2 linked regions of the Saccharomyces cerevisiae S288C genome follow. The gene in region 1 interacts genetically with each later gene. Each region holds a gene or a part of one and is shown in the gene's direction. Other genes may lie near its edges.

Region 1 (8,252 bases):
TTGGGAAAGTTTCATGTTCGTTTTGGTACGATATTGATTACGTAGGTATTTGAAGTCACCGGATAGACCTTTAAGTATTAGTTGACAGGCCAATCTGTCGCTAACATTGATATTGTTTTCTTTTAGCCTCTGAATGATCGTACTGACTGTAATTTCAAATGTATCAGCAGATGTACTTCCGTCGTACTCAAGGTTGGCAAGAGCTATCCAATCCTTTAATTCTTGATTGTTAGTTTGCATTTTGGACACACTTTTACAAAGGACTGTAAGGATGTCAGCATAATTAATTTCTAAAATTTGTTTTACCCATGTTGGCAATAAATGAAATGGGGCAAATGCTTGGAAGGTATTGTATATATACGCATGTTCTTCATAAGTCATTTGTCTTTTGATTTCACCCTGGTCATTTGGAATGATGTCACCGAGATTAGAGTTCTTCAAAAATCTGATGTAAAATTTAACCCATGTAGAAAAGTTTTCTTCTGATGTTAAAGTGTGTGGTGGTAAGACGTTATTTCCCACCTTTGTCTTAGCTTGAGGTATTTCAGAGTGTTGATTTTTTAAATCGATTGGATCAGGTGAGGAAGTACTCAGTGGTGGGATATACCGTGGCAACGGATAGTGTGGGTCCGGTTGATAATACGCAGGTGACGTTTGATAATGTGAACACGTCATCATAGATGGTTGTTGGTAATGTGCCCAGTTAGAGGCCATAGCTTTGTTTGGGGTCATCATGCCGTGCTGTTGGTACTGTCCATTCTGTGGAGGTGGTACTGAAGCAGGTTGAGGAGAGACATGATGATGGTTCTCTGGAACAGCTGATGTCCCAGGTGTTGTCTCTTGTTGAGAATTAACCTTAGTGGAATCTCTATCAAATTCCGGTAAATTGGAAGCTGAAACGGCTAACGGATCTTGATTTGATGGGACTTCCTTAGAAGTAACCGAAGCATAGGCGCTACCATGAAGAAAAATGTGGATTTTGATGTAATTGTTGGGATTCCATTTTTTATAAGGCAATAATATTAGGTATGTAGATATACTAGAAGTTCTCCTCGAGGATTTAGGAATCCATAAAAGGGAATCTGCAATTCTATACAATTCTATAAATATTATTATCATCATTTTATATGTTAATATTCATTGATCCTATTACATTATCAATCCTTGCGTTTCAGCTTCCACTAATTTAGATGACTATTTCTCATCATTTGCGTCATCTTCTAACACCGTATATGATAATATACTAGTAACGTAAATACTAGTTAGTAGATGATAGTTGATTTTTATTCCAACACATTCCAATACCACTGATAAGTACATTCTGCATGTCTATTTATAAAACCTTCTTTAAGACAAATATGCTATTTATCCTTTGATAACAATTTCCTGTGAGACAGAAATCACCATAAAATAATCGGGCGTGTGGTCTAGTGGTATGATTCTCGCTTTGGGCGACTTCCTGCCTAAACAGGAAGACAAAGCATGCGAGAGGCCCTGGGTTCAATTCCCAGCTCGCCCCTTTATATTTTTTCACCATCAACGTGGTGTTTCACTTATTCCTTTTCTAGTATTTTTTTTCCACCTTATAGAAGCGTGCACGTTTAATGCTGGAGATAAAAAAAAAAAATGCATTAATACTCTATATAGCAGAAATATAGTTGTTATAACATTGTACCAACAAAAGAAGCCCTATGAAGATAAACTATGATCTAGAAGTATCAACTTGTTTGGAATGTATGCTTCGTTTTTTAAGTTATAGAGTAGTTCTGCCGAAATCTCTTGCAGATGTTAGGCATCTCTTTAGATGTATTGTCTTTATGAAACTAGTATGGTTTGAAACGACTTTTCATGGAATGTTTCTTGGCTTTCTTGTGTTTCTCCTTCCTTGGCCTCGTGGAAACCGATTCTTTTTGAATAATAAGAGGTTCGTCTAAATTAATGGAACCTTCTCTGTCGTCATCTCCTAAGACGTTCATTTTTTTAGAGTAATCCCAAAAATTTTCTGGAATATCTAACGGCCCCTGTTTGTTTTCCCAAATTTTAACGCAACCATCTTCACCACAGGAGTATAACATGTTGCTATGTTGTGCTGGTATAAAAATATCTCTGACGACCTCGTCTCCATGGGCGTGTGGGATAACAATACCGTTTTCAGTATCCACCTTCTCATCTTTAAATGGTAGGAGGCACAACTCTCCACAATTTTCTTGGGTTTTACCGGTTGCAATGAGTCCAGGGTAAATATCTACCACGTAGTCACAGTTCCATATTTCTCTTACATCACCAAAGTCCAAGGGTTGTGGCTCTTTCAATTCGTCAGATTTGTCGTTCAATTCGTGAATTGCAAATGTTTCCATATGTGATAGTGTAAATATCCTCTTTGGGGACAACCATCCACAGGAATGTATTGACGCATAATTAATAACTTGGTGTAAAGCGTCCTCCTCCTCATCTTGTTTCAAGTCATAAATGTTCGTGTAACCATCAGTTGAACCACTGAGCAAAATATTGACGTCAGAAGGATGAAATTTAATACAGGTAACGTCATCATGGTGAGAGTCAATTAATGATCTCAATGGAGTGTCCCATTTGCGAATATCATATATGTATACAGCAGCGTCAATTCCCTGCAATTCGGTACCACAGGCCAATAGACCATGACGAGAATCTAAGGAAATAAAGGGGGAGTTGGCCTCGTTTTGAATTTGAGCAATGCGGTCATTCGTCCTTATATCGAAAACTTTCACCGCGTCGATAGAGGCGCTACTAACTAGATGACCAGCAGAGAAGTCGCTACCGATGACCTTCATATCATTGATTGCAGTTTCGCTCGCCTTAATCTTTTGTACTGATTTACCAGTACTCCAGTCTAGCAAACGTATTTCGCCATTACTTAATCCAGTTAAAAGACCATGTTTATAACTAGGCTGTAACTTAAGACACCAATTTTCTGACCCGAAAGAATTCGATTCAACTAAAGAATAACTAGCCATGCTCTAGAAGTTAATTTGAGATTCTCGAACTTAAGTAGTTTTTATTTACACAGTAAGACGAGCCAGTGCCTATGTCCTAATGACTGCGTACGTGCACTGTAGTCCCATCTAACATTTTTACAATCTGGACTAAGAAAACTTTTATAAATCACATTGCCAATGCAAAAAAAAAGAATGGTCTCTAGCGGGATCGAACCGCTGATCCCCGCGTTATTAGCACGGTGCCTTAACCAACTGGGCCAAGAGACCACTGTTATCTGTTTTCCACCGTCCCTCCACACTACCAAACCAACGTCACTACTGTGTGCCAGCACCACCGCTCATTATCCCTGTGCCACAAAACTCAACTTACACTGTCATTCGAATTTCCGGCAAACTCCGACTGAGAAATGTTCGTACTACTTCCTTTCTAGGGCACATTGAGGAAAAACTCATTGAATGCACCCTTTACAAATCTTAATATCTCTGACGTTTGTATTGTATTAACCAAGCAACCCTCCCTGTGCAAGTAGAAGCCCTGGATCCTTTGTGGTCGTAAAATGAACAAATACCAATAAGACGAAAACAAAAACAAAAACAAAACGACATAGCAACAATGCGGAATTATTTAAGGCTGGCACTCTTTCCGCATGTTTATCACAATTATTTCCACTTTCACTTAAAACCTTGTTTAAGCTTGGCCTACACCACAGGAAAAAAAACCATCCGATCTAATCTTCAAATATCAATTTGAGGTTGAAAAAATTTGCTAAAGCGTTGGTCTAATTTTGTTTTTCGCCCACATAATGTCTACATCTTTCCAGGAGTTCAAGGCCTTTTGCAACAAGGTTGGGCTAGACTTTCAATGGCTTAATTTGCAATCCTCCAAGTCTGTTCCCGAAAGCGGTTCCTCTGAAGGTTTCTCAGCCGTCAGTGATACCGTACAAGAAAACATCAGACCAGCTACGGAACCACTTAACGTCAACCAGTCCAAAGATCCTGTCAGCAACTTTTTTTATGATGTCAAGAATGCTCCGCTCTGGAACGTGTATAAGAGGAATCATTCCGGTCATTCTTCTACTGAGGCTTGCTCTGGAGTAAGTTCAGGGCAAGCGTCAAAAAACATACCCGAGGCAATGGTAAAAGAGACAGTCCTTTCTAATCACGACAATGTCACCATAATAAACGAATTACTGCCAACGTCTTCTGCCATGCACCAGGAAGAAAGCACCGCTATGACAACCTCCTACCTCTTATCCCACTCCGTAAATGATAGTTGCAACGTAATGCTTTCTTCCTCCTCCCACAACCGTGCTATGCTCCCACCTTCTCTTGTGCAAAGAAATAACGCTACCACATCTCCCACAACAGACTCTGCGTCAGAAAACAACGAATCGGTACCCTCACTAACCTCATCTGTTAGCACATCCTCATCAGTTTATTCGTCATGGAATCCTCCTCATTCTCCCCACATATCGTCATTTCCAGACGGCAATTTCGCATCGCTTAACGCAGAAGTGACTTGCTTTGATTTCCGCCGCACCAAGGACTCCAGAACAAAAGAGACGAATGAATCTATCATTCCAACTGAAATTTACTGCCCAATAAATTCCACTGATCACCACAAACATTATCCAAGCCAAAAATCTAAACAAGATGCCTGCGCTCCTGCTCCCCGCAATCAAAATATAAGCTGCAGCGTCGGGTCCGCAGCGGAATTTTCCCAGTCTAACCACACGTTGACTACTGTAGTTCCTTCATACATGCAACAGTACCTTGACAGGCCACAGAACTGGTTTGAAAGCAAAATGGGAAAATACTGTCCACTCTTTCTGAGAAGTACAAAGAACATTGACTACGATTCCCTCGAATTTAAATTTGAGCGCAAGATGATAGCTGTTCAATACCTGCTTTTAGACGAACAATCTGAGCCCAGAAGGTACTACAATCCCTCAAATAAAAGTATTCCATTCTGGAAGAGACCCTTCAACTTCGATACAATGCCCAGCTACGACCAACTTATGGAGGAAGCAGAGTGCCGTTTTTATTCATACCAATACAAATACGAAGGTTTCCAGAGGATTGAGCCCTACTCCATTTTTTGTCCCTGGAAAAACACACAAAGAGAAATAGATCTGGTTCTTGATCACATTCATTTTTCTCTCGATGTCGGCGAGAAGAAGTCTTTAAACCGAAAAGGAAACATCACTCTCGATACTTTAGACAGTAAGGTCGATCCTAACATTCAGATCAAGCCGTATCAGATTTTTCCGTCCAACAACCTAGTATACGAAGGCTTACCGCATCCCGCCGAACAATCCTTAATTTTGAGTCCTGGCACCTCCCTCATTGAGAGGGCGTTTCAGGCACTGATAGACATATGCAAGGAATCTATTCCACCTTCTAATGACTGTACTACCCGCAACCATAATAGCGCTCCTCAGCTTACCGTGCCAGAACCATCTAAACCATGCCGGCTACTACTTGTTCGTGAGTCTCGCACAGCAACAGAACTAGAAACTAACAAAAAGCTCTGGCTCCACTCACAGAGAAGGAATATCGAAGTGACCGTACCAATGCATCCTTCTGAGCATGGGACAAAAAGCCGGTTACGAAAATGGCTCTCAACTTTTGTACATCAGTGAACCGTCAGAAGTTCCGATAGTTCGAACTGTTTGGCACGGCTGACGAAATACTTTTAACGAGCAAGTTAGTCTACACATAACTTCGTACTTACCACCGTTTTCTTCTGGCGCGCCTCTTCAAGTAGACTACCACTTCCCTCTTGTAATAGTTGTTATATATGTTTTCATAGTCTGATTTAAATTTTACGCATATTCATCAATTAACCCAATGCACCAAAAAGGCGGGAAAGAAGCAGTAAAGCAAAGGCCTTTGCCAAGCCTTCTTATCGACAGAAGCAGCCTCAAAAGGTTCCTTCGAGAGCGGCGCGCGTATTTATTCACATCGCGAATCACTGGACCCTTAAAATAAAGGCGCCTATTCACGACATCTGCCACAGAAACAACTGTTCAGTTATCCTAGCAGCAGTTTTTGCACAACGGTATAAACCTGTACAAAACTTTAGCAAGGTTTTTTAACAACAAAAGTGCTTGAGGGACACAACACAAACTATAGAACAGACACTGTTTTCCTGACACTGCTTTCCTGACAAGAGACTCGTTTCTGAATTATTTTTTTTTTCAAGCATCTTTGTTTCGCTGGAACCATTGAGTCTTTTCTTCCATTTTTAATCTTTATTCTGCCTCCTTTCCTAAACACAAGTTGATACAACGAGGCTGTCAATAGCAAGAGCGTGCGCGAGATCATGCTTTACTCCAGAGAATCAAGGACAACCGTCCTTTTCCTTGCGTTGGTTACCTCCCTAACCGTACTTTGTCACTCGGTCGATGTAACAACTGTATTTACTACGTCAACAATCACCGAAATCACAACTGTGACTGCCGCACCGCAACCACAAAACAAAGCGGAAACCGCTTTGAATACTGCTACTAACATAATTCAAACCATGCAGTTTCTTTTCAACTGCGCACCATTTAAGTGGAAGGGTCCTTTGAAAATAACTTCTTGTGCGCTGAACTTTATTGTCCTACTACTCACCGCTTGGGGCTATCTTCTGAAGTATCTGCAGGAAAATAAGCTGAATAGCGATGCTGATATGGAAAAAATGGTAGGACTGGGATTTGGGGAAATGGTCGGCAGAATCTTCGGAAAGGGTGTCGGGAAAGCTTTTACTAAAATGGATATCACTCAGAAACTAGTGTACCCGTTCGAAGGAAGCAACCGGCAGAAATGTCTACTCATGACCGTCGGAGAAAACTCGATAGTGCCATTCCACGATTTGTTTACAGAGATATGCTTTGACCAGTACACTCTGGACTCGCTATCCCACCACAACCATGGGAGTATTTCGATTTTAGATGCTGGATCAGTGAGCGCCTTGGGGTTCGCGGATATTTCATCGAAAATGCCCTCTGTAAGCGAACTATACACACTTTTTGGAGATTATACGATAGAAGTACTGGGCGGCATCACTAAACTGGCTTCAACTCTTAACAGAGAGGACTGGCAGGGGGAAAGAAACGGGTTCGCGGTTTTATCGAGAGACCGGCCTAACCAGACGTTACTAAGCGTCCATATGTACTCTTCAAGCTTGCTATAGATGGAGCTGCTCCTGGCTGTACACACCATACACCAACTTACCCCTACATGTACATAGTATCTGTCAGTATTTCACTTTAATAGGTATTAATAAAAATTTCAATCTGTGAACACTCAAACCTGTTTCCCAGTAAAAATATACAGCGGCATTGAGTCTTGCGGCTCGCCAACTTGGAAGCAGCCGGGAATGATACTACTGCAATGGCTTTTTATAGTACATATCGACTTTGCCAGCTACATAAGGGAAAAATTAATGTCTAAAAAAAGCGCTTACATCCTTCTTGCAATTGCAAGATTTGGAACGCACAGTACGTACGCTGCGCTACGGGATGAGTATTTATTGATCTGTAAGCGTTTGATTATTAGACTATGCTATCAATATTTTTGATGACGCGGGTAAAAAATAGCAGACAATTCCCGCCAGATGGAAAAAAAGCTGGGCTTTAATTCAAGGAATGGAAATAAAAATAATTTTGCGTGAGTTAACTTGAGAGACAAGAGAAGGAAATACTTAATAATGATACTGGGAAAGAAGATTCAATTGAAGACAGTAACTAAATAATACTTTCTAATTTTTGAATTTGCTACAGTTCGGCTTTTTATCTACTCTCTTCTGGATCAATTTTTCTTTTTCATCTAAAGTTTAAAAGGAGATGGGTTTATATCAAGCAAAGAATGATGAGGGAAGTGATCCGAAAAGCAGCAGCAAGATTGACGATTTGATAGAAAATGAGGCAGAAATCATACGACTAATCAAGGAAGATGGCAAGTTACTGATAGACAATGGCGATGGTAGAGATATCCATAACATAATTCAAGAAGACAAGCTCCTCAGTGTAGAATTTAACGAAGTACTAAAGCGATTTCACGGGGAAGAAAAGTCAGATATTCCTCGGAAGGAGTTTGATGAAGACGAGGATGACGGATATGATTCTAATGAGCACCATCAAAAGACTATAGAAGTAATGAACACACTAAATCACGTCATTAATAAAGAGGTGATTCCTCCCGAAAACTTTAGCCACGTCGTTGGGGAGATATACCGTAGCAGTTTCCCACGACAAGAGAACTTTTCGTTTTTGCATGAAAGACTAAAGT
Region 2 (7,722 bases), on another chromosome or scaffold:
TATAGAGAAAGACCAACCCTATCTTTAAAAACACAAGGCATAATTCTTGCATGATGTGCAGCCTTGGAAGATATACTAAAACGAATACCATTAGAACCTATGTCGACGATTCCACACAAGTTTCTCGACACGACCTCAGTCTCGGTATCACTATCGCTAAGTGTTGACATTTGTGGCACGCCTACACTTTTCGTTCAAAACAATCCTTAGTAAAGGACACTTCCAAGAGTGAGTTTCTTTTTTAAAAGGTACATATGAATGAATTACTAATCTCACTTCGATTCTTTCAATTGATCTAGGAACTCCGCCGGCAAAGTTATCCTATCTCGGCATTCTGACCCGGATCGCTTATCGCGGTCATGTGACTAATAATTGAAATGATAAATAGCACGATATGTAACAATAGTAATATATCAATTGACAATGTCATCTTGTTCCCTAATAAATAGTAAAGGTTCCAATTGTTTCACCACTGGCTGCATTTTAAAAACAAAGCATTATAAGTAAACTCTCACACATGCTAACTTCTGTTGGGAAGCAATACAAATAACAGAAAGGATTGGGGTAATGAATATCAGTAATGTCTATTGTTCCCGGCCATGCCGCTCATTCAAACTCTATATCGGAACCCAAGAAATCCAGATCACCATTCGGATCACTTATTGAGCTCGCCGCTGTATTACTAGAATAACTATCGGATGATTCAAGATCAATAGGAATTATTTCAGGGCAGTTTTCGGGGCCTGATTTTAGGACTTGTTCACCCGCTTCCATAGACGACATCTGTTGCGATAGATTATAAATTTTTGAAGGAAGTGTATGAACTGTCGCAATATCTGTATTTTCTTCTTGCCACTGCTTTGGTTTACTATTCAGTCTTTTTTCCAGGTGAGGGGTTGTGTTGATATTTTTTGCAAGCAGTGGCTGGCGTATTTGATCAGGTTTTGATACTGGCTTGATTGAGGAGGGTCCTTTTTCTTTTATATACTTTACTGGAATACCCTCTTTACAACATAAATGTCTGCATTGCGTTTTGTCTTTGCAGCTATGAAAACACTCGTAATTGCCATTAGATCTTACTTGGCGGCCATTACTAAAATGTGAAGAAGAGTGTGCCTCCGGGTGAATAACTGCTGCAGATTCAACCGCCTTTGATGATTTCTTCCTTTCATTCAAATAATCTAGTATACTATCATCTGAGGATAGCGATTCTTCTAATCCATCTTTATGGGAAACCCTAGACGTTTTCCCCACTTCTCCGTCACTACTGCTTTCATAGAAGAGGCATTTTTCTAAACTATTTAGATCTTTCCTTATATTTGGTGTCTTCGCAGAGAACTGTGATGCCAAATGATCAGTGGAATATACGATTGTTTTGCCGAGTCCGGCGATTTCTTGGCAATGAATTGAGAATTCTATTTTTTCTAGTTTTGGTGATATTTTTGCTGAAATTCTAAAGCCCCTTGGTGACTGTAGTTTGTTAACTTGCAATCTTCTAAAGTCGATTAACTCTCCTGAGCTTTTCTCGGTTTCGATATCTAATGAGAGGTGCTGACCATGCCAAATGCTAGACTTGAATGTTGCACTAATCTCAACTTTAAATGTCAACCACAACTCTTCATTTTCTATTTTGCAATTTTCTAGTTTTGTTCTAATATTCAGACAAGGCAACAAAGAAATGTCGTTTTTAATTTTTATGCCGTTTCCAATCTTGAGGTTAAGATAGTATTCAATCTGAGTATCTGACAAATGCCCCATTTCTTCTAGATTGGTAATTCCATGTCGTATTAGCCTTCTTACTGAAACTAGTCCAATTGTTTTCAATTGCCTAAGAACCATTGGCGTGTTTTCCCAGCAGTGACCATTCAGGCTTCGCAGTAAGAACAAAGTATTTTTCAGTGATGTTCCATCACTTTTTTCAATAAATGTGTCTACCATGCATTTTAGTAATCTAAAACAATGTCTAAAAACGAGGAATTTATCCTGAACAAGAGTTTGATGTAGTTTAGAAGCGCCTTCGTATGATGGAAATTCTAACCCACCTAACTCATATTGAATCAAAAGAGAAACCTTTTGACTAACCCTGTCAATTATTTGGCTCTGTTTCTTCTCGGTTAAAAATGGATATTTCAAAAGTGGCGATAAATTGATTTCTTTGAACAATTTTTTTTCATTGTGCCTCACCCTCATAACTGAAAACTCTTCAGAAGTGGCCAGTAAATTTAGTATCCCTTGTAATGATAGAAATTTTTTTGCGTTAATGAATTGTTTCATCGACTCAAAGGATATATAATGTCGCGTCATTGCATTTCCGTACGCTGTAGATTTGTACTCCCCATTGCTGATATCGATTATTTTCACTTTTACTAAGGTGTCAAGCAAATACTGACAGAATTGATTTATCTGAGAGTCTTCAACGGAATGAAAACTAACGTATCTGTTCACCTCTTGATATGCAGCTGGATTCTTCCCAAATCTAACGTAAAAGAATGTGTTTCGTAGCCAATTTACTGCAGTTTCAATTGAATATACAGTTTCCAAAGAGGTTTCTGCTGCTAAATGCTCGATCAAATTCAAATGTAATGAACTTTCCAAAACGTCAGTTCCATGAATTAAGTTTTCATATGTTTGCTTCATTTTAGAGTCTGTCATGATTACTGCGCACCCGTGAGTTTCAAATTGAGGTCTTCCTGCCCGCCCAATCATTTGCAGTACATCTAGGTCTGAATACTCTTGGATTTCAGAAGAGTTCCAACTTTTGGTGCCTTTGATAATGACCAAATATGCGGGAAGGTTCACACCAACAGCTAACGTTGAAGTTGAACACAATATATTAATTGAACCTGCAAGAAATTCTTTCTCAACGGCAGTACGGTCTTCTAAAGAAATTCCAGCATGATGGAAAGCGATACCTTGTTGCATACATTCATTTAATATTTTATCGGAGGGATTATGATTACATCTTTTCTTACTTTTTGAAAAAATATGATTATTTAATAAAAATTTTGCTGTTGATATAGTTGAAGCCCTAGTCGGACAAAATATTAGTACGGGACGATTATCGGCATGCTTTTCAATTATTTCAATCAATTTGGAATTATATATAGCATCTTTTTGGAAGTCATTTTTGCAATTGAAGGAGTACCCATAAACAAACTTCGTTAACTGAACTTGCCTGTACGATTCGTCAAAAGAAAGAATATTTGCAGGAAGCTCGTTGTTAGTTTTGAGCCACAATGCTAGGTCTTCTATATTTGGAACTGTTGCACTTAAAGCAACAAACCGAATGTTTTGACACATTGTATTCATCCTTGTCAGAATTACTTCCAAAGATGCTCCTCTTTTCTCCTTTATGGTATGAATCTCATCAACTAGGACAAGTTTGACCAATTCGAATAATCGGCTGTAATCGGACCATCTTCTTGTTAACAAATCCCATTTTTCTGGTGTCGTAATTATTATGTTACATTTTTTAGCCTTTTCAGTTTCCAGAAAAGAGGTATCACTAGTAAGCATACCAACAGAAAGATTCACAAAGGAAGGAAACCAGTTCTTGTACATCTCGTAACATAGAGATTTGGTTGGCGCGATGTATATAATTTTGGTGTTATTGGTATCACTATTTGTTTCCTTTATAAGACGTAATATTGCCAATTCAAATAATACAGTCTTGCCTGATCCGGTTGGTGAAGAAATTATGCAGTTCTCGTTACTCTCATAAATACTAGGAAAAGCCTCTGATTGCATTTTATTAAATTCTGTAAATTTAAAAACCCCTCTGAATGAATCTGGTAATATGGTCGTGCTCAAACATTTCTTCGCTGATTTCCTTATCGTGACCTTCTTAGGTTTCTTCGCCTCTTCATCAGGTGTCTGCTCTAAATCGTGATCAAATAATTTACTAGTTACTTGTGTATCATCTGCTGTTATTGAAAAATTATCGTCTTTGTCGAAGAATTGCAGACCACGGCCCTCAAATATTTCCTCTGTTTCATTTTCATCATCACAATCATCCAGTAAACTGTTATAAGACAAACCTACTTTAAAACTTGGTTGGCGGCTATTTTTCTTATTTCTTTTAAATGTAGCAGACTGGTCGTTAAAGTCAATATCTATAAGTCCTCTGAAATTCTAGTCCAGAAAAACCACTTTTGGTTGCATTTCCGCTAGATAATAAAAGAAAGAGGTAACAATGTTAGTCAAAATACTGTTGTTGTCCGATATGGTGTAAACTGATAAGGGTGTTGCTAAGCTTCGTTACTACTATTTGGAGAGGGTCTACTTCTTTTTCCTGTACCGAGGCGATCAAACTTTGTTTTCATCCTTACGACGCCTCTTAAGTTGTCAAATCCACCTTGAGGTATCAATCATTTTCAATGAAAGGATTTCTTGATAGATGATACTAATAGTCCCGTTTTGTTTATAATCCGGGGCAAAGTCTAAATACCCGCCGAGCCTGCATCCATTCGTGGTACATGATATGTTAAAACTACAACAAGGCATAAAAAAGGGAAGTATATATGATTAATTATATATACGTAAAGGAAAAGATACGTAGTTAAAGATTGTTTTTGTTGGTATCAATGGAATCAAAGATGAGTGAAGAAGAAGCGCATAAAACAGTGGAGGTGGATGACGTCGGGGTTCAATTGGATGAGGGCGATGAAGAAGACCTTTTGGAGTATGATGATGAACTCGTGGAGGAACAACCATCGGACGCCCGTATACGCAACGTGGCAGAGACTTTAATGAAAAGCGAATTGCCCAAAGTCACCGTGGAATATAAAGATACTACATTTCTGTTGTTCACGTCGGATGATAAGAACGAAAGTAACAACCCCATAATATGTGAAAACGCTGCTCTTTATCAGCGACCCATGGGGGAATTCATGGAATCCATTCGTAAATTTATGGGAAATCGTTTTGGCAGGTTGGCTTTTGCTACGAAGGAGTTGGTTTTACAACTGAAAAGCCTCGATTTGACCTTGTTCGAAGATAATGTCTACAACAACCATATTTCATTCAGCGATGTTTATACTATATTTAAAATCCTGAAGGAAAGATCGGAGTCTAATTTTGAAACTGATATACCGACGCACTTGGCTATTGAATTAAGTACAAGGCCAAGATTTGTCTCTCGGTACAACGCCTTGGTTGAATTAACTGAAAGCTCAGCTACGTTGAAAAACATAAAGCCATTTTCTAACGATGAAACGCATCCCTTAATTGTGGATGACAATGACCAATATACACACCAGAATACTTCAGAAGTCATTGTAATGGACATAGATGATGACGTAGGTGAGGATTCTGAAGACTAAAGTAGCCATGTTTAATCAGCACTGATCGTGGGAAATCCTGATGTCCAACGGTGAGTTTCTGATTTCCCAGTCACGGATTCCTTTTGAGAATCTTCTCCCGCGAATAAATTATTGGCTCTGTGTAATATTTAAGGTCGCCTTCTTTTTCGTTTGTATAGTCAGCAGTTAAGTATTCATTAATTTTGGATGATGCAAAGGTCCATATTCGATTTCTGATAGCCCTTCCCCCTTTTTTGTAGCGAATTGTATTATTGTTTTGTATTGTTTTTTCGTCATTTTCTTCAATTTTTTTCAAGTTTTACTTTCGGAAGAATTGCTGAAAGTATTTTCTGTTAGGATATGTAAAATACAAGCATAAAATATGTTTCAGGAGAAGAAAATCACTCAATAGTGCCACACCATTGTTAACGAGCTCGAGTAATTGAATCAATTTAGAGAAATAGATCATATTACAAAAATACTATGATTATTGAACGTTGGGAAGTAAAGTTATCTAAATGTAACCAAAATGTGGGCGGCTATTCTGTTCTGTCAGGAAACTTAAAAGAAAACATCAAACTGGGAAGACGAGCACAAAAATATTTGAAAGAGCTAAGAAATTTGCAACTTAAACCACTGAAAATCGGAGGGTATGAAAACTGCGGCACGATCAATGGTGAAGAGTATTTTTTGGAGGTAATTCACATCACCTCTGGAAGACAAAAAATAGATGTAGCCGTTGGCAAAACATGGAATGTGACTAACATTGAGAATGACAACAAAGAAGAACTACAGTATGAGTTATTCAAGGAAAAGTTAAAAGTCGGGAAACAGGACATGTTATTTTTTAGCTGGATGAAAAGTCTTTCAGTTCAATTAAATGCTCCTCTTCACCAAAAAATGACGGAACACGGTTTGGCAGACGATAACACGAGGTTAGAGTGGTTCAACATCCCACTTCTCAGAAGAAGTCAATACAGGAAAAAGGTACCATATCCGAGTTTAAGACAAATGTCCTCTGTACTGGAAGTGCAATGCAGCACACTAACGGAGGAAAAGTTGAACTTCTGCGTTGGATTTTCTGATAAACCTTTGTCAGAATGGAAGCCCCAAATTTTTGAGCAAACCTACAATAGATACCGTTTACAACGGATCTCACCTGAGAAATCTTTCAAATATAAGAGTAGGTGCAGTAAGTACAATTTCAAGACCAGTTCGCAAAGCTGGGTTGTGAAAGTCCCAGAACATGATCAACAGCTTAATACGTTTGAAAAACGTTATGATGAACTCTTTGATGCTCAATTTAATAAACTAGAATTTTTTAAAATAAGAATGAAAAAATTGAAAAAGAATAAGCCAATTGAGAAAAAGAACTATAAAATATGGTGTCTAGAAAAAGAAGACCTAAAGGATTTGGTATGGGATCCTCTGAAAAGAATTTGCAATCATTCTAGGTATGCAATATTTGAGCATGTTACCATAAATAGGGAGGCCTATTCGATCAAACCATTAAGGTTAACTTTTCAAAAATTAGATTCCGGCTCCCTTGACCTGATCGATAATCAAAAAAAGACGTTTGGTAGTATAAAGCTTGCAATGAGTATGCCAGATGTAAAAAAAACTGAAAATCAGTCAATTGAAGAAAGTGAAAGACACGATGAAACTGCTATTGAAACCCAAGAATTTGATGAAAATGATTGTCTTTCATCTAAGGCGGATATTAATACATCATTAGCTCCTCAAAAGAGATCTTTCATCGATAATGAACTAATGTCCATGTTAGTCACCAAAAAAAAAATAAAGAAGGACAAGGATGTTAGTGACACCGGTATATCTTCCACTTCATACTTGATAAATTCTGGGACATATGCAAATTCTCATATTGAAATTCCTACCTCTAATTCAGTTTACAATGGAAAGGAAGATTGCTCATTTAATAACTACTCAGTAAAGCATTCAATATTGGAAGAAGATATTGAGAATAAATGCATAGCCGTAAATGAAAACAAGGTGATTGAGAACCAAAAGGTAATTCAGTCATTATGTAAAAATTCCCATCTAGACCTTATCGAACAATCTTACTTTGGCGAATGCGATTTCATTATAAACCATTCAACATGTGTATATAAAATTCAGGCGAGCCGATTTATGCAACTCAGAAATAACGGCTCATTGCATTACGATAAAGCGGTAAACGATCTTTTAACTGAATTTCAGAGAGTCATTATAATTGTGGAGTTTTCTGAAATAATACAAGACGTTGATCCTGATCTTTTCTGGAAAATCAAACTTTATTTATTGAATTCACGTGTTGATGTTTTTTTCATTCATGAGACTACTGACTTTTTTATTGATTGGATGAAATATTTCATTGCAAGATGGGCCTTTTCATATAACGATGAGAAAGAAAAAAATATTGCAA

The links. Genes that interact genetically often act in the same process or in processes that back each other up.
Region 2: mutations in YNL033W (region 1) and RMR1 together harm fitness more than expected from each alone (negative genetic interaction), as found in Saccharomyces cerevisiae (one large-scale study listed by BioGRID).

The regions. Positions count from the first base shown.
Region 1 is NC_001146.8:566,699-574,950, forward strand, and holds YNL033W (uncharacterized protein), read left to right. Parts: upstream 1-6,300; coding exon 6,301-7,155; downstream 7,156-8,252. Other genes in the region: YNL035C (uncharacterized protein), read right to left, coding at 1,824-2,993; YNL034W (uncharacterized protein), read left to right, coding at 3,779-5,617; putative tyrosine protein phosphatase SIW14, read left to right, coding at 7,808-8,252.
Region 2 is NC_001139.9:27,315-35,036, forward strand, and holds RMR1 (Rmr1p), read left to right. Parts: upstream 1-4,595; coding exon 4,596-5,321; downstream 5,322-7,722. Other genes in the region: RTG2 (Rtg2p), read right to left, coding at 1-170; HFM1 (DNA helicase), read right to left, coding at 607-4,112, 4,265-4,322; ZIP2 (Zip2p), read left to right, coding at 5,784-7,722. UniProt on the Saccharomyces cerevisiae protein: Required for normal levels of gene conversion events during meiosis.